Callithrix jacchus: one gene and its partners. The protein of the gene in region 2 purifies or fractionates together with the protein of the main gene of each other region. This does not show direct contact. Links are inferred from orthologs where the notes say so. Each region holds a gene or a part of one and is shown on either strand. Other genes may lie near its edges.

Region 1 (2,741 bases), on a different chromosome or scaffold from region 2:
TAAAATAACTAGAGGATATTCTGTTACTAGACTAGGTAGTATTGGCTGTAGTTTCAGGAGTTGAGAAAAGGATTAGATCAGCGAAAAAATAGAGACTGTCTTGTGAGCAATAACTGATGTGGGCTGCGCTTTGAAATGAATAGGTGGCATTTGTAGGGAAGGGTGTTCTGATTGGCTGCTGGGAGGTAGTGAGGGTCAGGACTACCAAAAGGGAATGAATGGGCCTATTGGGGATTAGCAGAAGTGCTGTGGTGGGTGAAATGGACACATTGCAGAGGGCCAGGAAAGCTTAGACCAAGCTAGTCAAAATGAGACCTGATATAAAAGACCACTAGAGCACCAACCTTTTTAATGTAAAAGCTCTGCTCCCTCTTTCTTTATTTTATTGCTGTTTCTTGACCTCATAATTATTTGTTTACATCATCAGCTGGCACGGGGCCTTCATGAGGTCAGAGACTGCTTAATACCTGTCATTAAAACAGGCATTCAGTACATTTTTGATGATGAACAAAGTATACTTATTTCCTTGGTGTTTGACAGCTGCTTGACTGTACATGGTGATAATTAGAATATTCACTCTGACAAATCATTTAAAAGAGAAAACCACTTTCAGCTCAGTCTCGAGTCCCTTTTCTCATCACGCTCTCCTTTTCATCCAGATTCCTGGTGCCCCCGATGATGAAGCAGTACGGATATTTTTAGAATTTGAGAGAGTTGAATCAGCAATTAAAGGTGAGTTAGCTGAATATTAAAGAATAAAATAGTTGAATTTACAACCTTCATCTTTACAAGTAAAGTTACTGTTTAAAGTTAAACCTTTATCATGTCTTATGCCTATATTAACAGTCTTTTGTTTGCCTTTCAGCGGTTGTTGACTTGAATGGGAGGTATTTTGGTGGACGGGTGGTAAAAGCATGTTTCTACAATTTGGACAAATTCAGGGTCTTGGATTTGGCAGAGCAAGTTTGATTTTAAGAACTAGAGTACAAGTCATCGCCAGTGATCCTTAAATGAACTGCGCTGAGAAACGAAGGAAAAGGTCACAGCCTGCATGGCTGTTGCATACCAAGACTCTTGGAAGGACTTCTAAGATATATGTTGATTGATCCCTTTTTTATTTTGTGGTTTTTTAATATAGTATAAAAATCCTTTTAAAAAAAAACAATCTGTGTGCCTCTCTGGTTGTTTCTCTTTTTTATTACTATTCCTGAGTTGATAACATTTTTTGTTAGATTTCATGGTAATTCTCAAGTGCTTCAATGATGCAGCATTTCTTGCACTAAAAAAAAAAGAAATCCAGAAAGTTTTAGGACATGGGGTTATATTAAGTTATTTGTTTTTCTTTCTTTTTTCTTTTAATAAAGCCTGCAAGTTACTAAATTGTAGTTTCATAAGTTCTGTAATAAGGTATCATCTTGGCAGTGTGCCAAAGGTGAAAACGATACTTTCTCTGACAGAGAAATACTTCTTAGTGACTCCAGTCGTAGAAACACGTCTTACCACCTGAATAAGACTGAAGAATTGTGAATATACCATGGCCTATTGGATGAATCATTTGCCGTTAAGCTAGGTCAGACTGTAGGGTTTGTGATGGATTTATGAGTATGTGGGTATAGAAATCATAAATATAGCACTTGTTTTCAGAGATTCAAGCATAGTCTTTAGGGTAGATCAGAAATGGCAAGTAATTCAAAACCTAGCAGGTGCATTGTAAATATGTGCCTAATTATGTTTTGGAAATGGCAGTTCCTTGGGGTCTTGTTTCTGCTGGCACAATTTGCAATAGTATTCTATTGTATTTAATTCCAAAATTTATAAAATTCATCCACATTGGCCACGTATACAATACTGCCAATTAATAGAATTCTGGAATTGTGAGAAATTGTATCACTGAAGTTCAGTAGGATGTGTGGCTTCAAAATTTATCAGGACCACAAAAAAGAAAACAAATATTTGGTACTGAGGTTCATTGCCAGGGCAGGAGGTATTTCCAGAAAATACTCATGCCTGTGTTCTGTTCCTTGCTTTCCCAAATACTGCATGTGACTCTCCCGAAGTGGCAGCTGAAGGACTCGAGCCCATGTTGTCTCCTTTGGTTATTATGACATGAAAGTGTATCAAGAACTCAGCATTTCTTTGCATCCATGGACTTGGTTTGGAGACATAAGGAATATTCTGACCCTTTTTAAAAAAGGATTTTCTCATGTTTTTATTTAACATAAATAAAAGAATAACATTTTATCTTTTGTGGTATTTTATTGAGTTTTATGGTAAAAGTGCACCTGTTCTGTAAAGTGAGTTGGGGTGAAGGAGTGCAAGGTAAAGTATATAATTGAGCATCGCAGAGGACAGTAAGAGTCAAAGGCAGCCCTGGAACTGGAGTTATGTATGGAATGAGGCCAACCATTCCTCGTGTGGACACCATGTGTGAACTTAAAAGTACCCAAATGTGACATGCTGAATGTAACGATGACTGGTTTAATTTTTGAAACTCCAGTGTGCTTAAGTTGGAACTCTGATGGTTCTAACCCACCTTTCGTGCGTGCATTTATGGTTGATATGCTTTGTAATAACTGTTTGTTTGCATTTAGGTGGCTTTTCCTGACATTCTCATGGTCAGCAACCAGAGAATTGCAAGCAACTCATACTACTTGATTTCTGTTCACGTGGGCACAACTTAGTGAGTGTCTTTCTCCCCATTCCCTTATTTTTAAAATTACCCATAACTGTATTAATCATTT
Region 2 (3,500 bases):
TGTTCCCTAATGCTCCCCAGAGACCTTACTCCAGCGCCCATTCAGGCCCAGGCCAGGCTGGTTTCCACGCTGTGGAGCCGTGGCCCGGGGGCTCATGGAGACGGGCTGCTGGAGCAGCCGGTGAGACGCGGGCGAGGTACTCACAAGTTGGTCTGGTGCTTCTTCCCCTGGGTATGTGCCAGGTAGCTCCCCTGGAGTGGAAAGGAAACACATGTGACTCGAGGCCGAGGGGACAGACACGGGGCAGGAAACACGCGTGACTCAAGGCCGAGGGGACAGACACGGGGCAGGAAACACGCGTGACTCGAGGCCGAGGGGGCAAGACATGGGGCAGGAAACACGCGTGACTCGAGGCCGAGGGGGCAAGACACGGGGCAGGAAACACGCGTGACTCGAGGCCGAGGGGACAGACACGGGGCAGGAAACACGCGTGACTCGAGGCCGAGGGGACAGACACGGGGCAGGAAACACGCGTGACTCGAGGCTGAGGGGACAGACACGGGGCAGGAAACACGCGTGACTCGAGGCCGAGGGGACAGCACGGGCCGCACCTCGTTGTTGTGAAGCGTTAGGCAGAGCTTGCATTCATAGGAGCCCAGGTGGTTTTTCATGAAATACGGGTCCTGGAAGGGAAGAACAGGTACCCCGTTAGACAGAAGATAATGGCCTGCCCTGCGGTCGGGGCCCTCAGAGGTGGGACCCCCTTTCTGTGGAGGCCTGGCTGTCCCTGATGGATCTGGCGAGGGGCCTCGTGAGCACGCGTGTGGCCACCTGGGGCTGTGGCCTAGGCTTTGAGCAGTGGGTTCCCAGGGAGCCCTGGCACCACCTTCCTGGTGGTTCTGAGGCAGAGAGGCAGAGCCAGGACAGCAGCGCCTGTCACTCTGATGCAAGGAGCCGTCCGCTGTCCACGCCACCAGGCCAGGGGTCAGCACAAGGCAGACGCAGGGATGAGAAAAGCAATGGGTGACATGGAAGGCCACGCGCATCCACGGGCCCTGAACTGGGGCAGGCAGGCACACACTTCTCGTCTCAGACCCTGGAGTTCAAACCCTAACTCCACCCCCTGCGGCCTGGCACCCCTCCACCGTGATCTCATCTGGAAGACAAGGAACGTCACAGAGCCTATGCTGCAGGCCAGGCCCGTGGGGCATGTCAGGGAACACGGCACTGGTGGGTCCTGGTGGCATCCAAACCTAAGGAAGCGCACGCTGGCAGGGTCTCGGCTGGGATCCACCCTCACAGGGGCCTGGGCGGTGTCTGGGGACATCTGTGTTTGTCCCGATGGGGGGAGCTCCTGGCACGGAGCCAGTGGGGGAAGGGATGCTGCTTGGCACCCTACAGTGCCCGGGACGGCCCCAGCCCAGTGCTGCAGCCCCGACGTCCACAGTGCTGAGGGGGACCCGGCCCACCCCACCTCTGCACAAGGTAAAACCAGAGCCTTCACTGCATCTGACTGGACCGACATCAGCTCCCCCCATTTCCACAAACTGGATGATGCCCAACAAGGCTTTGCACAGAGCCCACCATTTCCACCCGGGGCTCAGAGCCACAGAGGGTCTGCTGCCTGGCGTGGCTGGATGGGAGCTGCGGCTGCATCGCCCTGCCCAGCCGGCCGCCCACCTTGTTGATGTCGATGGTCTCCAGGGCCAGCTGCCGGAGGCGCTCCCTGCGGTCACGGTTGCTCTCGGAGGAGGAGGCCACGCCCCCGCTCCCGGTCTTGCCCCCAGGGCGATGCTGGAAGTCCATGGTGACGGCCTCCGGGCTTCAGCAGACTGGGAGACACCTGTGGAGGAGTGTGAAGACGGCTGAGAAGGCGGGGCTGCTGCTGGGACCTCCTGGGGCACCCAGCCTGTGGAGGCCAAGAGGAGACTGAGAAGGACGGCTAGAACTCGGGGCTGCTGCTGCCACCCCAGGGCCGGGCAGTCAGGTTGGGGCCAGCAAGACTGCTCCTCACCCTGCACTCCCAGCGCCAGGGTCTCACCAGCCCTGAGGGGCCACCTGCTAGTGCACTGACTCTCTTCCAGGGTGCCAGGGCCCACTGTGGGCCGGGCACAGACATGAGGAAGCTGGAGCCTGCCTCTTGACCGTGCAGGAGGGTGGAGGGGAAGCCACTCCAGCCCACGGTGCCAAGGCCTGGAGACCTGAAATGGCGACAGGGAGTCAGAGAAGGCACAACCAGGGAAGAGGCGGCCAAATTCTCACCACCGAGTCACCACCTCCAGGAAGCCATCGGGACTGCCCGAGCCCCCAGTGTTCACACCTTCCTCTCAACTCCCTCTAGGGTTGGCTACGCTTACTTGTCCCAACCTGAGTTCTATCTCTCGGAATCGGCTGTGAATTTTCTGGGCAGAGAGGGAGACGTGGATCTTCCGGTCCTCACTGGGTAACACCGGGAGATCAGCCACATCTGCCTGTGGCGCAGGAGGGCTCTCCTGAGTCCCAAACACCCGCTTCCCGCCGCAGCCCTCTGCCGCTGCTCCACACCCTCAGGCTCCAGGCAGACCCAAGCTCCAGGCAGCTTCCCCTCCTCTCCTGACGCTTTTCCCTGCCCCTTCAACACCTGCCCCGGGCCCTGGTTTAAAGGCCCTGGGTGAGCTCAGGAGACCGAGTGAATCATTCATGGCCCCCAAAGACGTCCGTCCACATGCGAACCCCTGGGCCCTGCGAACCCTCACACGGCAGGAAAGGGAAGCGCAGGTGGGCCTGAGGATCTTAAAACAACGGGTGATCCTTTCAGCATCCTCCCGAGAGGAGGGGGAGGCTGGGGGACAGAGAGGCTGTGCTGTGCTGTGAACAGGGAGGACGAGGGGAAAGGCGGGAAGAGTTCCGCTAACAGAAGGGATGGAGCCTCAGGGACTGTTTGCACTTCCAGCCCCAGATCCAGAAGCGGATGCAGCCACGTCACCTGAACTGCCGCGTCTTCGGTGATCTGCCACAGCGGCCGCAGGTGTGCAGGAGCACGCTGAGGTACAGGCCAGCTGTGCTGCTGACCTGCGGTGGGACCTGAGGTCACTCCTCAGCTGTGGGGGCCCAGGACCCTCCCACCCAGTTAGTTTATGACAACGATCCAGTGTGGTAACCGGTGGGACGGGCTGCTGACCTGCGGTGGGACCTGAGGTCACTCCTCAGCTGTGGGGGCCCAGGACCCTCCCACCCAGTTAGTTTATGACAACGATCCAGTGTGGTAACCGGTGGGACGGGCTGCTGACCTGCGGTGGGACCTGAGGTCACTCCTCAGCTGTGGGGGCCCAGGACCCTCCCACCCAGTTAGTTTATGACAACGATCCAGTGTGGTAACCGGTGGGACGGGCTGCTGACCTGCGGTGGGACCTGAGGTCACTCCTCAGCTGTGGGGGCCCAGGACCCTCCCACCCAGTTAGTTTATGACAACGATCCAGTGTGGTAACCGGTGGGACGGGCTGCTGACCTGCGGTGGGACCTGAGGTCACTCCTCAGCTGTGGGGGCCCAGGACCCTCCCACCCAGTTAGTTTATGACAAC
Region 3 (4,167 bases), on a different chromosome or scaffold from region 2:
GTCCTCCTGTCTCAGCCTCCCAAAGTGCTGGGATTACAAGTGTGAGCAATTGCACTCAGCTATTTCTTCTAGTTTTAGATCTCTATAATAAAATGATGCTTTTCTGTGATCCCTTAACATTGTCTACACTTATGTGCATGTTCATATTTGTTTTACTGTTGCCTAGTTTTCCATTTCATTCATTCTTTTATCCAATACATGTTAATTATCACTTTTCTAATTAATAAGGGTACTTGAGTAAGCAGAGCAGACAAACCCCCACCCTTAAGAAATCTGTATTATTTTTAAGTTGTTGCAAATTTGGGTTTTTATTTAAAAAAATAAAAATTCCAAGCTGATAAAACCAATCTGACAGCTACTTGCCTCACCAATATATGCATGTTATAGCCAGAATTCAGAAATAACATTTATGATCATTTATTTTGTCTGGCAATGTGCCAATCAATTTACATTTATTTTAGCTCATTTAATGCTCACAACAACTAGAAGGAGGCACTATTAGGATACCTATTTTACAGATAAAGAAAGTGAAGGTCAGAGAGAATATAGTTAAGAGAAGGATACAAGATGAGGTTCCCCTAGACCCTTAACAACCATTTCATATTCCAGGTGATGCTTTGCAGACATCTGATGAATGGATGAATGAACGAATGCATGCACTTCTTGGAATTCTCATTCAGCTTGGCATAAACACTAACTCCTTAGATTACCCTAGAAAAATCTAGACATTTTGTGGGAAGAGAAGAGTGGGAAGGGTGGTAGGGAATTATTTTTTCGAGTGAGTTGAGGCAGATGATCTTAAAGATGACTGGGTTCTACCCGAGCATGGTTGCCATATCTGAAAGATGAGAATAGGGCAGACTCGGAGTTCTGTCCGCCCTTGGTAGCCTCTGAGATTCAAGCTCATCAGCAGAGTGTTGGAGGACAGTTCCTGCAGAGTCCAGGAATCAGAGGAGACTTGGAGGCAGGAGGAACTGGCTATCCTAAAGGTGATGTTAAACCCGGGCAGCCGGAGCCCAAAGAAGGGCGAAACCAGGACTAATTGCCCCACAGCATGAGGGGCAGCGCCTGTTAAATTACATAGGATTTGGAAAGGTGTTAGGCACTCTTGTGCGGGGTGAAGCTTCGCAGGGTCGTGGTACGGGAAATTATTCATTCCCTTCCCTATTTCCTCGCAGCACGGTCCCCACAACCCTGCTATCTTTCCCCATTCCCACTTCCGAACTCATCTCCTGCCCTCCAGGCATTACGCAAGCGCAGAGAGATTCCCAGCCTTGGCCGCCAGAGAGCCGGAAGCATCGATCGACTCCGTGCTCGGCTTCTAGACTTGTCGACGCTCGATTGAGGAGCCTGGCAACGTTACTTCCGGTGCCTGGCTCCGTTTCCTGCTGTTAGATCTAACGAGGGACGGCGTACGCCTTAGGTGGGTTCCTGCGCCTTCTACCTCCTTGCTCTTTCTGTTCTCCTGACTCCTCTGCCTTTCTTTTCCCCTGTTGCAGCTGGGAGCGGACGAAGCGTAAAGCTGAGGTGGGGACGCGTTTGCCCCGGGGTTCTGTCTTAGGGGCGAGAAGGGATGGAGACTGACGCGCGTGACTGGCTGGGGCCGGGCATCGCGTCTTTGCTCCCTTGGACTTCTTGCCGGGGCTTTGGGCGAAGGTGCTTGTGTCTAGAGAGGTGGGAGGCTTGCGCGTACGAAGTAAAGGATAATTCATGTCCATCTGCTTTTGCGAGGCGTGGGCCGTTCACTGAGCTTTCAGGTGTCTTCCAGCGGCTCCCTTTTGGTAGTGGCGGGTAATTCAGAGAGGCCCTGTAGCAATCAAGGTTATGTTCAAACTTCGCGGGAGACCCTGCAGGAACCTCCCCTTTCTTCCCCTACCTTCGGTTTGACCTCTGCCTCAATCACTTCCCTTTCGTCGTCTCCTTTGCGACTCCTGCCCCTTCTCCAGATTTCGATTTAGGGGGTCGCAAGGTTTTGAGGAGCGTTTCCGTAGCCCCGCTTGTAGGCTCTTACCTTGTCAATCGTCCAGTGCTGTTCATATACAGTGGATGCTCTGTAAATATTTGTGAGATAAAGAAACTTTGGGGTACACAAGGAAATCAAGCAAGTTCACACTTTGCAAGTAAAAACAATGTGGAAAATGCAATTGTGTGGTAGATGAGAAAAATGTAGAGAAAGCAAGGGCTGAATTTCCAGGCCTAATGCTTATTAGCTGTGTGACCTTAGGCAAGTCCCTTAACTGGTAATAGCTGTTAATAATTACTCCTAAGTGCTTACCGCTGATGCAGAACGTGCTAGAACTCATTTAGTCTTCTGAGTTCTGTTGGGTAGGTTCTGTTACCGTTCTCGTTTCACTGATGACATGAGGGATTAAGGAACTTTCCTCAGGCAAACAGATAGTAAGGAGCATAAATAGGATTTCACTTCACATCTGGCTGGCACTAGAATCTGAGTTTAACAGTCATGCCATACTGCTCTCATTGAGCTCCCTTCTTTTAGGTCGGTTAGAGGTAACCTTGGAATCCAGATAGCTTGGAGATACAAATTAAGTGATAGGTATGGAAGGACTTTATAAGTGCACCCATGAAATTGGCATGAAGTTGGCAAGCTTCATTAATGTCTAATCTTATGATTTTTACTGGGTGTACATTTGCTACTTTGTCATTTTTCTTCAAATCTGTATTTTTAAATTGTTTCATCGAGCAGGCGGAAAGTCAGTATCACTTGTCATAAGCGAAAAGTAAGTGTAAAAATAAATGTGTTGAATTAAATATTGTTACAAAAATCTGGCTAGGTATTGGTGCCCCAAGTTTTGAGCATGAGACACTGTTCTTTTGTATGAAAGGAAGGGCTAGTGGGTGCTGGAGATACAATAAAGATTACAGCCAAACTGACATTTTCTGACAATTGGGAATTGAAAGAGAAGTGAAAAGTTAATAATTCTTGTGTTGTGTCCTTATGCTACAGTCCAGTATAATTTAATCTTTCTTTTTTGTAACAGATTACTTACTGTTTTTGAAGAATTTAACGCAAACATGGATATCAGACCAAATCATACAATTTATATCAACAATATGAATGACAAAATTAAAAAGGAAGGTAAGTGCTTTTTAAAATACTTGTTCACAACTAAAATGTGTTTATTTACTACTGTCTTAAAAATCGTACTGCCTGAAAACCTCTCACCTCATCATCTTAGTGCCTGAAATAATGGTTTATCCCATTTCCTGTAAGGATGGGAAGGCTTTTAAAAAACAAAAATAGATAGGAACTGACACTGTGTTCAGTCTGTTGCTACTCATAGCTATAATGGTTTCATACAGCCAATGGGAATAGTATATGTTTTTTATAAATATTAATATAACTGTATACATAAGTGAATGGTGTTAGCAACTCAATAGAGTATACTTTGAAGACTTGTCATTATTTGATTCACCAGTGACTTGTTTCTTTTCTACTTTGGACAGAATTGAAGAGATCCCTCTATGCCCTGTTTTCTCAGTTTGGTCATGTCGTGGACATTGTGGCTTTAAAGACCATGAAGATGAGGGGGCAGGCCTTTGTCATCTTTAAGGAACTGGGCTCATCCACGAATGCTTTGAGACAGTTACAAGGATTTCCATTTTATGGTAAACCAATGGTAAGCTAATCCTATTATTTTCCCTTTAATCAAGAAACTAATGATACTAATGGTAGAGTCGATTTGCAAATATGCTTGAAATTGTGGCTGTTGCTTTCTGCTTTTAATTATGTATGTCTTGGTTTTACGTATTTTTATAGAAAAACAGTAGCTGTAGAGTTTAATTTACAACAGTTCAGATGGGCAAAAACAAAATACATTGAGTTGTAGAATGTTTTTATAAATGGCAGTCTAGGCAATATTCTTATCTCAAAAAGTTACAAATTAATAATAACCTGGAAGACTTGAAACCTGTTTATAAACTTGTAAAACATTATAAAAGCCATGAGTCAAAGAGGAAATTCAGTCTGAAGTTTTAGAAAATGCTAATAGTGAAATACTATATGTCAGAAGCTATACAGTCTAGAAGAAACAATGATTGAAAGAAAAATTATAGGGTTAAACTCATAAGATTAAGGAATAACAATGGAAATGAACTTGTTATTCATGGAGAGTTTTAAACTCAGGAATGACATAATGAGATTCACAT
Region 4 (2,612 bases), on a different chromosome or scaffold from region 2:
AGAGATTGTCCTGGCTGGCTTTGATGGGTGGAGCGCAAACCAAACAGGCCAAGGGCCTGGCCACCGGCACAGACGCTCCCAGACCAGGGAATAGGCAGGGGCTTCCAGACCCCTCCCCAAGTCGTCCTTTAGGCTTGTCGGGGGCAGGAAGGGGAATTGCTCTCCTTTGTCCCTAAGCCCAGGGCCTGTGCCCCGTGCAGCTGGCCTGGAACAGCCTTGCTGTTTTTGCCTGGGGTCAGAGCCAGGGCCACTGGGGTCCTGCTGACCTAGCTTCACTCTCGAGCCTCGGGCCTGTGCTGGCCAGTGGTCCCTCCCTGCCTCTCTCATCCCGACAGCGTCAGTGAAACACTCCTGGTCTCGGCTTCGCTTGTATTTCTCTACTGCCAGCCTTTCTTCTTGTTCCATATATGAAGACCCACTTGACCCATTTCTTCAGAGCTAGGAAGGAGTTTTGCCTTCCTGTGAGATAGTGGCTGCTCAGTGGAACCTGGAGCCCAGGTTTGGCTCAGCCTCGTTTCCAGATGCCTTGGGGCCCACATCTCTCTTCTCTTCTGCTTGGCTCTTGCCTTTTCATCTCTTTATAAAAAGGAAGGAAGTGAACTGAGCAGCCTCAGGCTTTAGAAGTGGGTCCCTGGCATCCCCTGTAAACCAGGAAGGTGGTCTCACTCTGTACCTATCACACAGGTTCTCGGGACAGGAAGTCAGGTGGGAGACTGGGCTCCCCGAAGCCAGAGCGGCAGAGAGGCCAGAACTCCAAAGCCCCTGCAGCCCCATCTGACAGGTGAGTCCCACCCAGCACGTGCCCTGGGCGCACCTCGGGGGCTAGACCAAGCCCGTCCCTCGGGGAGGCCAGCAGCATCAGGGCCAGCCCTGAGCCAGGCCAGAGGCTCCGCTTAGTTCAGAAGGCAGAAGGGCAGCCCAGGCTGGAGGTGTCACTCCAGCTTCTGCTAGGCAGACAGGGTGAGGGGCAGGGAAGGCCAGCTCCATCCCCACAAACACACTCCTGCCCTGGTCGAGGCTGCCCTGGGCACAGAGGTGGGAAGAAGAGCAGGAGGTTGTGCGGGGCCGGCCCAGGCCCCTCCCAGTCTCTGGTCCACAAAGCCCGGGAGCCCGTGGGTAGGACCAGGCCTGCTTGTGACAGCATCAGCCCCTGCCTGTCTTGGTGGCCACTGAGGGCGCAGTGGAAGCTCCCCTGCAGGGAGGACAACCTCGCTGCCCTGTCTGCCTGCAGACGAGGCTCACAGTCTTCCCCACCCGCTTCCAGGAAGCGCCAGCTGTCACCGCAGGCTAAGAGTTCCAGCAAGGTCACCAGCGTGCCTGGCAAAGCCTCGGATCCCGGCGCCACCGCCAGCACCAAATCAGGGAAGGCCAGTACACTGTCACGGCGGGAGGAGCTGCTGAAGCAGCTGAAGGCCGTGGAGGACGCTATCGCGCGCAAGCGGGCCAAGATCCCTGGGAAAGCGTAGGCCGTGCCCCACCGGGCTGGACGTGTTTTTATACATAGGGTAAGCACAGCCATTTCGGATTTTGCAGTTAATATCTTATTTTGGCTGTGATTCTTTTTAAAAAGTAAAAAAGAAAAAAAAGTTTCTCAGCTGGAAAAGAAGCCACAGAGGAAATGATGCCGCTGAATCCCCGCCTCCCTCCTCAGAGCAGAAGTCCCGCTGGACAGACACCGACAGCGCTAGTGACCAGCACGGTTCTCATGTAAATTACAAGCCCCAGCCGCCAGCCCCGCCGTCTCTTCCTCCTCCACCGTCTTCTTCCCTGGCCCCAGTCAGGCCCGAGGAGCCCCCACTCTGGGTCCCTGGCTCCAGGTCCAGGCAGCCAGGCTCCCTCCTGAGCCGAGAAACGGAACACCTCGTGAACCACTGGTGGCACCTCCTCCTCCTCACCCGCCCCTGGATCAAAAATATATATATATTCTCAACTAAAGTCTGATCAGGAAATACTTCCTGTCTTTTATTTTAAGCATCAAATTGTTTTAGTTGATTTAAAAAGGAAAAAATACAGAAAAGACCAAAAAAAGACCAAGGGTATTGTTGGGGCATCTGTCTAATGTGGAGGGTCTTTTTTTGAGGGGTCTCCTAAAATAAAATATTTTGATAAGCAGCTGTCCTTGCCCTCGTGCTGTGTGTGCCCTCTGCCTACGAGCAGCCGGCGCCGCCTCTGCTGCACGCTGCGCTCAGCCCTGCGCTCGGGAGCCACTGGAGGGTGAGGGTGTGGCCACGCTCATCCCCCACCACCTGCCCCAAGGACCCACCCTGGAGCCGGAGATGTTGGCGGCGGGGGGGGGGGGGGGGGGGGGGCTGGCACCCATGCTGCTCCCCCTGGGCTGTGCTGGGACTTCCTTGGTCTGTGAGGAGGAGGCACCTTCCCTGCACAGGCCATGGTGCTGGAGGCCAAGAGTTCAGGGCCAGCTGCCAGCCCCCAGTGTGATGCCCCATTCCACAGCAGGAGCCACAGGCACAGCCCCCAGGACACCCGCTGCAGCCCCCTGCTCTCCACCTTGAGAGCCACGGGCCTGTGCCCAGCAGAGGCCTCCCAAGCACACTCCAAGGCCTCCTTTAATCAGATTCAAGTAGCCACGGTGTGGTGCCCAGGCCTGCCGC
Region 5 (3,107 bases), about 13 Mb from region 2:
CCCCCTGCATCTGGGGTCTTCCAGGAACCTGAGAGCCAGGGTGGGCCAGGTCCAGCCCACAGGGAGACAGGCCACCTGGGCACCCAATCATCAGGCCTCTCCCCACAGCGGACCCTCAAGGTCTCGGAGCAGATCCAAGAGCCGAGGGCGTTCTTCCTCCCGCTCCAACTCAAGATCCTCCAAGTCATCAGGCTCATACTCAAGGTCAAGGTCGCGCTCCTGCTCCCGCTCCTACTCCCGCTCCAGATCCAGGTAGACAGAGGCCGCCTTGGGAGGGTAGTGCCCGAGGCCTCTTCCTGAGGCCTCCCCACAGTGCCTGGCTGCTGCTGACACATGGACACTCTTCCCTGCAGAAGCCGGAGCAGGTCGCGCTCCTCCAGAAGCCGTTCCAGGTCCCAGTCGCGGTCCCGGTCCAAGTCGTACTCCCCGGGAAGGAGACGTCGGTCACGGTCCAGGAGCCCTACCCCGCCGTAAGATTGTCTTAACTGCCATGCTGGTAACACTGGGACTCTGCGGTGCTTTGCTGTGAATATGGAAGCATTGGTGGTTAGGAGCCCGCCAGCGTTAGCCTAGGGACAGGGGCACCCCTCACCACCCCCACAGCAGTCACTTGGCCATGCCCGAGGCGGTAGCTGGGGTCTGCTAACCACCATCAGGGTTCACTGTGTCCCACCCTTGATGCTGTGTGTGTGGTGGGTAGGCACCAGCGGCTGAAGCCCCCTTATCCGGCTGATGCAGGATAAATGGGTGTAGGCACAAAATCTCTGTACGGTGTCGCCTGGCGATGGTGAGCACACACGAGCCACAGCTCTGAGGCCCCATCACTGTCACGCCAATAAATGTCTCAGTTATTCCTTAAAAGAATAACCTGTCTCGATTTTAGTTCCTCTGCTGGTCTGGGTTCTAATTCAGCACCTCCCATCCCTGACTCAAGGCTCGGAGAAGAGAACAAAGGCCATCAGATGCTGGTGAAAATGGGTAAGGCAGGGGAATGGGGACGGCTGGGAAGGGTCTTCACATGTGCTGGACCTGGCATGTGGGGATGGATGGAGTCAGGCCGGTTCTGACTCTGCCCAGAGCCTCTAGACAGGGCTGGCCTGCGGGATTCTCTCACTCTACCCATCTCCCATGTCTGCACTGCCTGTCTGTATATTCGGCCCCCCATGTGCACCCACATCTGCGCCATCCTGTTGCGGTCGTGATCGTGCATCTCTCTTTCCAGGCTGGAGTGGCTCTGGCGGCCTTGGTGCAAAGGAGCAAGGGATCCAGGACCCTATCAAGGGCGGGGACGTCCGGGATAAGTGGGACCAGTATAAAGGCGTGGGCGTGGCCCTGGACGACCCCTACGAGAACTACCGCAGGAACAAGAGCTACTCCTTCATCGCCCGCATGAAGGCCAGGGACGAGTGCAAGTGAATAAACTTGCACTTGCCGCGCTGGTGGCCAGCACTGCCGGCTGTGGGACCTTCCTGGTGGAGTGGCAGTGGAAGATCACAGTGACAGCTCAGTTCTCCCACCGTCTCCAGAAGGGGAGAGCCCCACAGGAAGAGAAGGAAGACCAGCACATGCCCAGTGGGAGCGCCATGCTCACGGCAGCCACCAGGGCCCCAGGCTCGTTTTCCTTTACAGTGAAACAAGAAACACAAGACCCTCCGCTCCCCGAGTAAGACTTCTTCACCCACGAAGGGTTGGATGCACATCTGCCCTAAGTCAGCAAAGCCTCCTCTCGGGCTCCAGGAGAAGTGTGTGCAGGAGAGGTCAGCCTGGGCCAGAGCCGGTGCCCCAGCTCCCCAGCTTCCCTGACCCACCTTCCCCTCAGCTGCGTAGGGAGAATGCCGAGGCCCAGTGCCATGACTGCCCACAGACTGAAAAACACAAACACAAAACTTTGACTTGGAAAGTCAAGCAGGGTTTTCATTTTTATTCCCCTTGGTTTAGTTTTAGAAGAATATTGACCTGAGAGGAGGCCCAGTGAGATTCTCAAACCCGATTCCTTGAAGGCATACTGGCCCTTAGTTATTTTAGTTGTGTAAGTTGATACTTTTTTTCTGGAATGTTAGCCATGTGCTATTGTCTGGGAAACAGAAGATTCTAACAGGAAACCAGCTTAAGGCACTTCAGGTCGAGTGCTGCCCTCAGAGTCCATGCCGGTTGCGTTCCCTGCTTCAGTTTCGCACTTGGAAGAACCCTGCACTGGTTGGCGTGCACACAACGGCCCAGTCCCATCCAGAGTGTGGAGCCTGCCCCCCCCCCACCCAGCCAGGGCCTCCCACTATGCCATTTCACACCCCACAGGGAGGGGAGTTGCACCTGCTGGAGCTGGTGAATGGCTACTGGGAATCAGCCACACCTCATGTCTGTGGGCAGCCTAGTGCGATGCCATTCATTTGTACAAAAACATTTTTGAAGAATTCTTTTCAATAAGATGCAAAATCCTCCAGGTTTTCAACCCAATGTGATACAATATTTGATTCTGTTCTAAATTTCCTGTAGCTGTGAATCCTTAAAACGTTATGATTCAGGATAAAACGTAAATACGTGCTGTTAGCAATTTCTTGTGGATTTCATTGTTTTGCCTTCAAATAAAGCCTTTTTTTAAAGACCTTCCTCCCCGCTTGTGTAAGTCAGAAGTGTGCTCAGGCTGAGTGAGGAGACGTGTGTCCTGGTTTGAGCTGTGCTGCTTGGGGTCAGGCTGTGCCCGGTGGCTCACATGGCGTCCCCAGCATGCTCGCCTGTCCCATGTCCTTATCCTCGAGCAGGGCTTTTCCCATCCACCGTGCCTCCCTCTGGCTTGCTGGGAAGCCAGGACCTGCCTGGGTGGAACTGCTCTGCAGAGGCTGGTGGCCCCTCTCCTGTGAGTGAGGACAGCTCCACTGAAACTCCCTTTCCTCTAGCCTGTGGTGTCAGAGCTGGGCATGCTGTTGGGAGAACTGTCACTGAGCTGGGATTTGGCTCAGAGGAATATGGGCGGGACCCTCACTCCAGCACTACCTGCCCCCACCACAGAACTGGATGCTGAGGGAGGGAGGGAGGGTGTGACTACGCACGCACACACTGAGTACAGAGGATGAGGTACCTTTCCTTAGACATCACATCAAGTTCCACCT
Region 6 (4,037 bases), about 34 Mb from region 2:
CAAGGGGTCTACGTGGGGGTCCTAAATAGTCAGGCTGTTTGATCTTGAGGACACGAGAACCCCCCAAGAGGAGACAAGAGGAGGCGGCTGAAGTGATCTGCGGAGAAGCAACTGGGGCAGAGCCTGGGCGGTGGGTGGGGTATGGAGACCCTACCGGTCCTTGTGCAGCTTCAGGAGCCTCTTCACATCTTCTCTGCCCTTGGGGACCGGGCCAGCCTTCTCCAAGGCCTCCTTCAGGAGCTGGCTCTTCTCCAGGCCGAAGACATGAGGGCGAGCAGGCCCCGAGGCAGCGGGTGGAGGAGGCAGTGGGGGCGGTGGGGGAACAGGAGTTTGCTGACTCCAGGGACGGGATGAAAAAGCTAAAAAGTCCAGGGCACTTGGGGGTAGAGGAGGAGGTGGAATGCTGCTGGCTTGGGGTACAGGGGTTCTTGGAGGAGGGATTGGTGATTTTAGGGGAGGAGAGCTTGGTGAAGTCATTTTGGGGTCTCCAGGAGGTGCTGAGGGGTTCAGAAGGTGGGGAGGGAGGGATCGTCCAAGAGGACGGCCTCAGGGACGGAAATTTTAAAAGTTTAAGAGCTGAATTCCAGAATCTGGGGGCAGAGCAGTGGGTGTGAAAGGACCAGGGCTAACATTTGAAACAGTGGGAGCAGGAATTGCGAGGCTGACCTCAGCCTTAAGGCACCTGACGGCTAACACGGCGGGGACGGGTTGTTACCTCGGGAGGCTTAGGTGGACAGTTAGTAGGAGTTAACTCCTTCTCTGGGGCCGAATGTGGAAACTCATGGGTAAGTCTGGGATATGAAGGCTCAGACATAGAGTGAGGTGCCTGAAGGGTGCGACTTAGGGGCCCGGGGCTAAAGATTCGGAGAACTTAGACTCAGTCCCCTCTCACATCCCAGGCCCGAGTTCGGAACCTTTGAGCTGACCTTTTGAGTCAGAGGCAAGAGGTCAAAAAGGACACCTGGCAGGGAAAGTGGCCTAGTTGTGGAGAAGGTCCTGGAGTCAGAGCAATAAAAAACCTCCGTGGGTTGGAGAAGACTCAGAGATCACAGGCTGGAGGGCGCCGCGATAACCGGTGGAACAGGGAAAGGAGTCAGGAAGTAAAATGAGCCGCCCACTCCCGCAAAATGGCGGCCCCCGCACACAGCCTTTCCCATATTATGTGGTATCACCCTCAATAGTGCCCGCCCATTTGGCGATCACGTGACAGAAAACGCATCTCACGCGGGGAAGAGGCGGGGCTTCAAACAGGCTTGCCTCCGGAAGACACCGCAGTTCGAAACGCGTCCCGATTGGCAAAACAATCGTGACCTTCACTGATTGGTCCGTAGACTCGGGAGCTACGGAAGGAGGTGGGCTTGTCGAAAGTGGGGCGGAGTTTTTCTACCTAAGCGGGAACCCAAATATCGTTTTGATTGGCAAGAACTGAGCCTAGAAACGAGTCTTGCTCTGATTGGGCAAGCTACTGAGTTTCCGCATGGGGATTGGCTGACAGAAAGGTAGAGGCGGGGCCAGGAGAGAAAGCTTTGTGGTTTGGTCTCAGAAAAGTAGCAGGCGCCAGTTGAGAAAACTGCGGCCCCATCGGAAGGTAACCTCGGGCGCAGACTAACATCGGCGGAAGGCGGGCGGTGCGCTTGGCGTCCGGGCCTTCCTGTGCCCGTCTGAGGAAACTTCTGCCTCTCGAGGCCAGGCTGCCCAAGACCCATCCTTTCTTCCTTTACTGGCTCTTACATCCGGGTTTTTTCTCCCGGACTGCCCTTCGGACGCGTCGACCAATGGGAACCGCCATTTAGGGGGCTCCGCCCACTGGGTCGCGTAGAGCATCCTGGAACTCGTAGTAAATCTCTCGAGAGTTCCCTCTGCACGCGGGCTCGAGAAGTGGGTCCTACGCACGCTTTGTTGCCCACGCTGTGCCTCCGTCCTTCCCACTCCCGCCTTACCTGACTTCCTCTCGGAAGGAAGAACCTTGAGCCCCCCGTTAAGCCAACGTTGGGACAAAGGATTTGGAGAAAACCAGGGCTAAAGTCACGTTATTTCTCGTTTAAGCCTTACCTCGACACTTCACTCCATGGCAGTTCCCGAGACCCGCCCTAACCACACTATTTATATCAACAACCTCAATGAGAAGATCAAGAAGGATGGTGAGTTCTCGGGATAGTCCGCACTCCAGGCTGTCCCGCACGGGCTGGTCTCCCTTCCACCCCCTGCACCTGCTTTTCTTTCTCAGTGTTCGTCCAAGCAAACTGTTCCAGTGAACCCTTTGGCCTTTACACAAACGACTTCCTCTGTCTTCAACACTCGTTAGTTCATCTTACACTCTGCCCTTTAACCTGGTCACTGTTGCTCATCTTACAAGGTTTCAGGACACAGGACCCCTCCTCCAGGAAGCCTTCCCTATCCTGCGTCCCTTCACGTGGCTGCCCCTGACTTCCTTCCATCAAGCCCGGATTCCTCTGGGCTGTCGTGGGGCTCTCTCTCCTCCCAGTGGCCTTTGAGCTCCATGAGGGCAACGCCTGGGGCTTCTTGGTCACCGGCGTTTTCAGTGATCAGTGCACAGTGAAAATGTACCGTACTGGGGCTAACGCTCTGTATCATGGGCTGGTCTATGCGCTATTTTTTTTTTTTTTTTTTTTTTTTTTTTTTTTTTTTGAGACGGAGTCTTGCTCTATCCCCAGGCTGGAGTGCAGTGGCGCAATCTCGGCTCACTGCAACATCCGACTCCTGGGTTCAAGCGATTCTCCCACCTCAGCCTTCTGAGTAGCTGGGACCACAGGCACGTGCCACCATGCCCGGCTATTTTTTGTATTTTTAGTAGAGATGGGATTTCACCAAGATGGTCTCGATCTCTTAACCTTGTGATCCGCCCGCCTCGGCCTCCCAAAGTGCTGGGATTACAGGCGTGAGCCACCGCTCCCAATCTTGGTTACATTTAATCCTCAAAACAAGCCTGTAGGAAGAAAGAAGGCTTTTGTTATTCCCATTCCTCAAATAAGCTGAGACTGGGGTGATGTGACTTGGCCTGGGTCACATAGCCACCGGTATCTAACTCCCGTTTTTGGCAGGGCGTGGTGGCTCAGGCCGAAAGGATCACTTAAACACAGGAGTTCAAGATCAGCCTGGGCAACAAAGCGAGATCTTGTCTCTACAAAAAAAAAAAAAAAAAAGCCTGGGCATGGGTGGGTCACGTCTGTGGTCCCAGCTGCTCAGGAGGCTGAGATGGGAGGATCGCTTGAGCTACAGAGGTTGAGGCTGCAGTGAGCTATGATTGCACTGCAGCCTGGGCAGAGCAAGAACCTATGTAAAAAAAGAACTTGATTATTGAAATCGGCAAGACTCTACAGCTTTCTCAAGTAAATTATCACCTTTATTGAACCTCATTTTCTGTGTCTGAAAACTGAACAAAGTCATAATACCTTCTTTGCATCGATGTTGGGGGAAATTAAATTAGCTAAATCTCTAAGTGTTTCTGTTTTATGGTACCTGGCAGCTAGGAAGGGCTGGATAAATGTTAGCTCTTATCACCTCAAGAAAATTGTCGGGAGAAGCGAAGGAGCTTGCTGGGATTCAGTTTGAGGTTACCAGTGAAGTTGCGCTTGAGGAAAGCATAGCCTACAGCCAGGCGCAGTGGCTCACGCCTGTAATCCCAACACACTGGGAGGCAGAGGCGGGTAGATCACTTAAAGCCAGGAGTTCGAGACCAGCCTGGCTAACATGCTGAAACCCTGTCTTTACTAAAAATACAAAAATTAGCCAGGTGTGGCGGTGCATGTCTGTAGCCCCGGCTACTCGGGAGGCTGAGGCAGAAGAATCACTTGAAACCCAGGAAGCGGAGGTTTTTGGGTGTTTTTTTTTTTTTGCAATTTTTTACTTTTTCCCTCCCAGAACACGGGAAGGAAGTAGAGGTCTTAGTGAGCAGAGTTCGCACCACTGTGCTCCAGCCAGGACGGTAGTGTGAGACTGTCTCAAAAAAAAAAAAAAAAAAAAAAAAAAAAAGACAAAATCAGGAATGTAAATATTGCATATGCTTTTAGAGTGTG
Region 7 (3,500 bases), on a different chromosome or scaffold from region 2:
AAAAAAAAAAATTAGGTGGGAGTGGTGGCGCGTGCCTGTAATCCCAGCTACCCAGGAGGCTGAGGCAGGAGAATAGGCTGTGATGAGCCGAGATTGCGCCATTGCACTCCAGCCTGGGTAAAAAGAGCGAAATTCCATCTCAAAAACAAAACAAATAAAAAAAATAAATCATGTCATTTTTATTGGTCCTTAGGATGCCTAGACTAATTACTGAACTATGAATGGTAACAACCACACTGTGACATTGTGAAATAATATATTTGGTCTTCATCCCTGTTTACAACAATGCAACTTCTAAAATCCTGGGACTCTTCCGAGTGATAAGGGTCTTTCTGTATGTTAATGAGTTGACTGATGGCTGTCACCAGAAAGACCAAGGCAGTATTAGAGGATTGGGACTTTCAGCCCTACCCCCCAACCTCAGGAGAGGGGAGAAGGGCTGAGGGTTCAGTTGATAAGCAACGGCCAATGATGTAATCAATCTTGCCTATGTAATGAAGCCTCCATACAAACCCAAAAGGACAGAGTCTGGAGAACTTGTGGGCAGCCAAATACATGGGGCTTCCAAAAAGGTGAACAAGAACACACCCACTTGCTCAGAGGGTGGCATATCCCAGCTTCAATGGGACATAAGCACCTGCATTCAGGACCCTTCCAGACTTCACCCTATGTATCTCTTCATGTGGCTGTTAATTTGTATCCTTTAACATATCCTTTATAATAAACTAGTAAATTGAGTATTTTCTTGAGTTCTGTGGGCCCTCTAGCAAATGAATAGAACCCAAGGAGAAGGCAGTGGAAGCCAGCTCTTTAGTCAGAAACACAAGAAAAACAACCTGAGGCTTGTGGTCAAGCATCAAAACTGGTGTTCAGTCTTGTGGGACTAAGTCTTCAACCTGTGAGATCTGGAGCTATCTCCAGATAGACAGTATTAGAGTTAACTGAATTAGAGGACAACCTGCTATCCACTGCAGGATTGCCTGCTTGCTGGTGGTGGGGGGTGGGTGGGGGGAAGAAAACACCTATCTGGTCACAGAAGTATTCTGTGTTGATAGTTAAGTGAAAAAAACACTTTGCTTTTTATTCCTATATCCACACATACCTTGCTTCTTCCAATTGTTTCTCTCTTGCTTTCCTCTTGGCCTTCTTTCCCTGAGTATTAGCCAAGCGAGCTCTGGCTTCAGAAAGCATCTCAAGTTCATCTGCAAAAATTAAAAGAAGAAAAACTGAGACCGCCATCATGAACGACACAGTAACTATCCACACTAGAAAGTTCATGACCAACCGACTGCTTCAGAGGAAATAAATGGTCATTGTCCTTTACCCCGGGAAAGCAACAGTGCCTAAGACAGAAATTTGGGAAAAACTAGCCAAATGTACAAGACCACACCGGATGTCATCTTTGTATTTGGATTCAGAACTCATTTTGGTGGTGGTAAGACAACTGGCTTTGGCATGATTTATGATCCCCTGTATGCAAAGAAAAATGAAACCAAACATAGACTTGAAAGACATGGCCTATATGAGAAGAAAAAGACCTCAAGAACACAACGAAAGGAACGCAGGAACAGAATGAAGAAAGTCAGGGAGACCACAAAGGCCAATGTTGATGCTGGCAAAAAGTGAGCTGGGGACTGGATCACAGCCAAAGGGGTAAAGGTGCTGCAATGATGTTACCTGTGGCCATTGTGGATTTTTCACAAGAAGCTTAATAAACTAAAAACTTTCATGTGGGGAAAAAAAAAAGAAGAAAAACTAAGTTTTTTCTTAGTTCTTACATACCTTACAAGCAAGGTATGTAAGAGACACTCTATTACTCTATTAGAAAAAAACATAAATATACTCACAGTGTAGCATAATGGAAACAGCTTGAGTTTTGAAATCAAAGAACCTAGGTTAAAAATCAGGCCCACCACTTGCTAGCTATGTGACCTTATAGTCACTTACTCACCCTCCCTAAGTGTATCTTCCTATAAAATTGGAAGACAATTCCTACTTCACAAGGATGTTGAGAAGAGCTAAGTAAAATGAAATATGTAAAGCATCCTATTCATCAAACAGTGGCTAGAATTACTGTATCCTTCATTATCATCAACTAACTGACACAGCACAAATTGTGAAATATGGTAAAAACGATTTCATTATGAGAGAACTGCTATCATGAGATGCTTTTTTTTCCCTCAGAACAATTTCTCTCCTCCAATACATTTTGCATGGCTCTGTGGAATGGAGTAACACACGCCATTATTGATGCCTTCAAACAATTCCTATGCGAGGCTGTCCAACCAAATCACATGGGAACTTGTAAAATACTCAGATTCCAAGGTCACTGCTCTTCCCTTGCCCCTCACACCACCTCAGATGTACTGACTCCGTATATACAGGGGAAGCCCTCATATTTCTATTTTTAAATGTACCCCCTGTGATAATGATGCAGCCAGCCTAGCCACAGCCTGCCTTTGGGAACCACTACATTCAAACTTTTATATTTTAGAAACTCAACAAATAGTCACTGAATGCTTCACAACAACCCTGCTAAGGTAAAGCAGTTACTAGTATTCTCCATCTAGCAACAAAGGGAATCACAGCTCGAAGAGATTTTAAGACTTGCTGAAGGTCAAACAACTAATAGGTGGCACACACAGGTTGAAAATCCAATTCTTGATTTTCTGTTAATACATACTTTACATATTTATAGTGTACGTGTGAGAGTTTGTTACATGCATAGAATGTGTAATGATCAAGTCAGGGTATCTGGGGTATCCACTGCCTTGAGTATTTATTTCAGATCTCTCTTCCAGCTACTTTGGAATACATAATACACTGTCGCTAACTATAGTGACCCTATTCTGCTACCAAACATTGTAACTTATTTCTTTCCATCTATACTTGTACCCATTAACCAACCCGTCTTCATCCCGCTCTCCCACCTACACACTGTTCCCAGCCTCTGGCATCTATCACTCTATTCTCTACCTCCATGAAATAAATGTTTTTAGCTCCCACAGATGAGTGAGAATATGCAGTATTTCTCTCTCTGTTCCCGGCTTATTTCACGTAACATAATGACTTCTAGTGCCATCCATGCTGCTGCAAATGACATTTCATTGTTTTTTATGGCCAAATAGTATTTTGTGTGTGCGTGCGTGTGTGTGTGTGTGTGTGTGTACATCACTATTTTTTTTTTTTGAGACAGGGTCTTGCTCTGTTGTCCAGGCTGCAGTGCCAAAGCTTGATCTTGGCTCTCTGCAAACTCAGCCTCCTAGGCTCAAGTGATCCTCCCACCTCAGCCTCCCCAGTAGCTGGATCTACAGGCATGCGCCACCACACCTGGCTAATTTTTGTATTTTTTATAGAGGCAGGGTTTCACCATGTTGGCTATGCTGGTCTCAAATTCCTGGGCTCAAGTGATATGCCCAAAGTGCTGAGATTACAGCCGTGAGCCACCATGCCCAGCCCACATTTTCTTTATCCATTCATCCATTGATGGACACTTAGAT

The links.
Region 1: the proteins of SF3A2 (region 2) and RBM17 purify together in Homo sapiens (affinity purification with mass spectrometry; 4 studies listed by BioGRID and IntAct, counting the BioPlex papers as one, with this or other methods). This does not show direct contact. The link is inferred for Callithrix jacchus from reciprocal best matches to the Homo sapiens genes SF3A2 and RBM17.
Region 3: the proteins of SF3A2 (region 2) and SNRPB2 purify together in Homo sapiens (affinity purification with mass spectrometry; 6 studies listed by BioGRID and IntAct, with this or other methods). This does not show direct contact. The link is inferred for Callithrix jacchus from reciprocal best matches to the Homo sapiens genes SF3A2 and SNRPB2.
Region 4: the proteins of SF3A2 (region 2) and ZC3H18 purify together in Homo sapiens (affinity purification with mass spectrometry; 3 studies listed by BioGRID and IntAct, with this or other methods). This does not show direct contact. The link is inferred for Callithrix jacchus from reciprocal best matches to the Homo sapiens genes SF3A2 and ZC3H18.
Region 5: the proteins of SF3A2 (region 2) and CHERP purify together in Homo sapiens (affinity purification with mass spectrometry; 3 studies listed by BioGRID, with this or other methods). This does not show direct contact. The link is inferred for Callithrix jacchus from reciprocal best matches to the Homo sapiens genes SF3A2 and CHERP.
Region 6: the proteins of SF3A2 (region 2) and SNRPA fractionate together in Homo sapiens (co-fractionation; 3 studies listed by BioGRID and IntAct, with this or other methods). This does not show direct contact. The link is inferred for Callithrix jacchus from reciprocal best matches to the Homo sapiens genes SF3A2 and SNRPA.
Region 7: the proteins of SF3A2 (region 2) and CDC5L purify together in Homo sapiens (affinity purification with mass spectrometry; 3 studies listed by BioGRID and IntAct, with this or other methods). This does not show direct contact. The link is inferred for Callithrix jacchus from reciprocal best matches to the Homo sapiens genes SF3A2 and CDC5L.

Annotation. Positions count from the first base shown.
Region 1 is NC_133508.1:7,679,550-7,682,290, reverse strand, and holds the end of RBM17 (splicing factor 45), read left to right. Parts: intron 1-659; coding exon 660-732; intron 733-865; coding exon 866-969; 3' UTR 970-2,241; downstream 2,242-2,741. UniProt on the Homo sapiens protein: Splice factor that binds to the single-stranded 3'AG at the exon/intron border and promotes its utilization in the second catalytic step. Involved in the regulation of alternative splicing and the utilization of cryptic splice sites.
Region 2 is NC_133523.1:2,124,478-2,127,977, reverse strand, and holds part of SF3A2 (splicing factor 3A subunit 2), read right to left. Parts: intron 3,044-3,500; exon of another isoform or gene 2,906-3,043; intron 1,784-2,905; 5' UTR 1,747-1,783; coding exon 1,621-1,746; intron 624-1,620; coding exon 552-623; intron 192-551; coding exon 145-191; intron 1-144. UniProt on the Homo sapiens protein: Component of the 17S U2 SnRNP complex of the spliceosome, a large ribonucleoprotein complex that removes introns from transcribed pre-mRNAs.
Region 3 is NC_133506.1:23,839,157-23,843,323, forward strand, and holds the start of SNRPB2 (U2 small nuclear ribonucleoprotein B''), read left to right. Parts: upstream 1-1,367; 5' UTR 1,368-1,423; exon of another isoform or gene 1,424-1,527; intron 1,528-2,999; 5' UTR 3,000-3,033; coding exon 3,034-3,097; intron 3,098-3,465; coding exon 3,466-3,638; intron 3,639-4,167. UniProt on the Homo sapiens protein: Involved in pre-mRNA splicing as component of the spliceosome. Associated with sn-RNP U2, where it contributes to the binding of stem loop IV of U2 snRNA.
Region 4 is NC_133521.1:46,292,117-46,294,728, forward strand, and holds the end of ZC3H18 (zinc finger CCCH domain-containing protein 18), read left to right. Parts: intron 1-684; coding exon 685-781; intron 782-1,264; coding exon 1,265-1,466; 3' UTR 1,467-2,112; downstream 2,113-2,612.
Region 5 is NC_133523.1:15,139,346-15,142,452, reverse strand, and holds the end of CHERP (calcium homeostasis endoplasmic reticulum protein), read left to right. Parts: exon of another isoform or gene 1-108; coding exon 109-252; exon of another isoform or gene 253-353; coding exon 354-470; exon of another isoform or gene 471-523; intron 524-883; coding exon 884-978; intron 979-1,222; coding exon 1,223-1,416; 3' UTR 1,417-2,607; downstream 2,608-3,107. UniProt on the Homo sapiens protein: Involved in calcium homeostasis, growth and proliferation.
Region 6 is NC_133523.1:36,292,417-36,296,453, forward strand, and holds the start of SNRPA (U1 small nuclear ribonucleoprotein A), read left to right. Parts: upstream 1-1,237; 5' UTR 1,238-1,352; intron 1,353-1,517; exon of another isoform or gene 1,518-1,588; intron 1,589-1,848; exon of another isoform or gene 1,849-2,046; 5' UTR 2,047-2,068; coding exon 2,069-2,141; intron 2,142-4,037. Other genes in the region: ACTMAP (actin maturation protease), read right to left, coding at 155-477. UniProt on the Homo sapiens protein: Component of the spliceosomal U1 snRNP, which is essential for recognition of the pre-mRNA 5' splice-site and the subsequent assembly of the spliceosome. U1 snRNP is the first snRNP to interact with pre-mRNA.
Region 7 is NC_133505.1:52,853,576-52,857,075, reverse strand, and holds part of CDC5L (cell division cycle 5-like protein), read right to left. Parts: intron 1,203-3,500; coding exon 1,103-1,202; intron 1-1,102.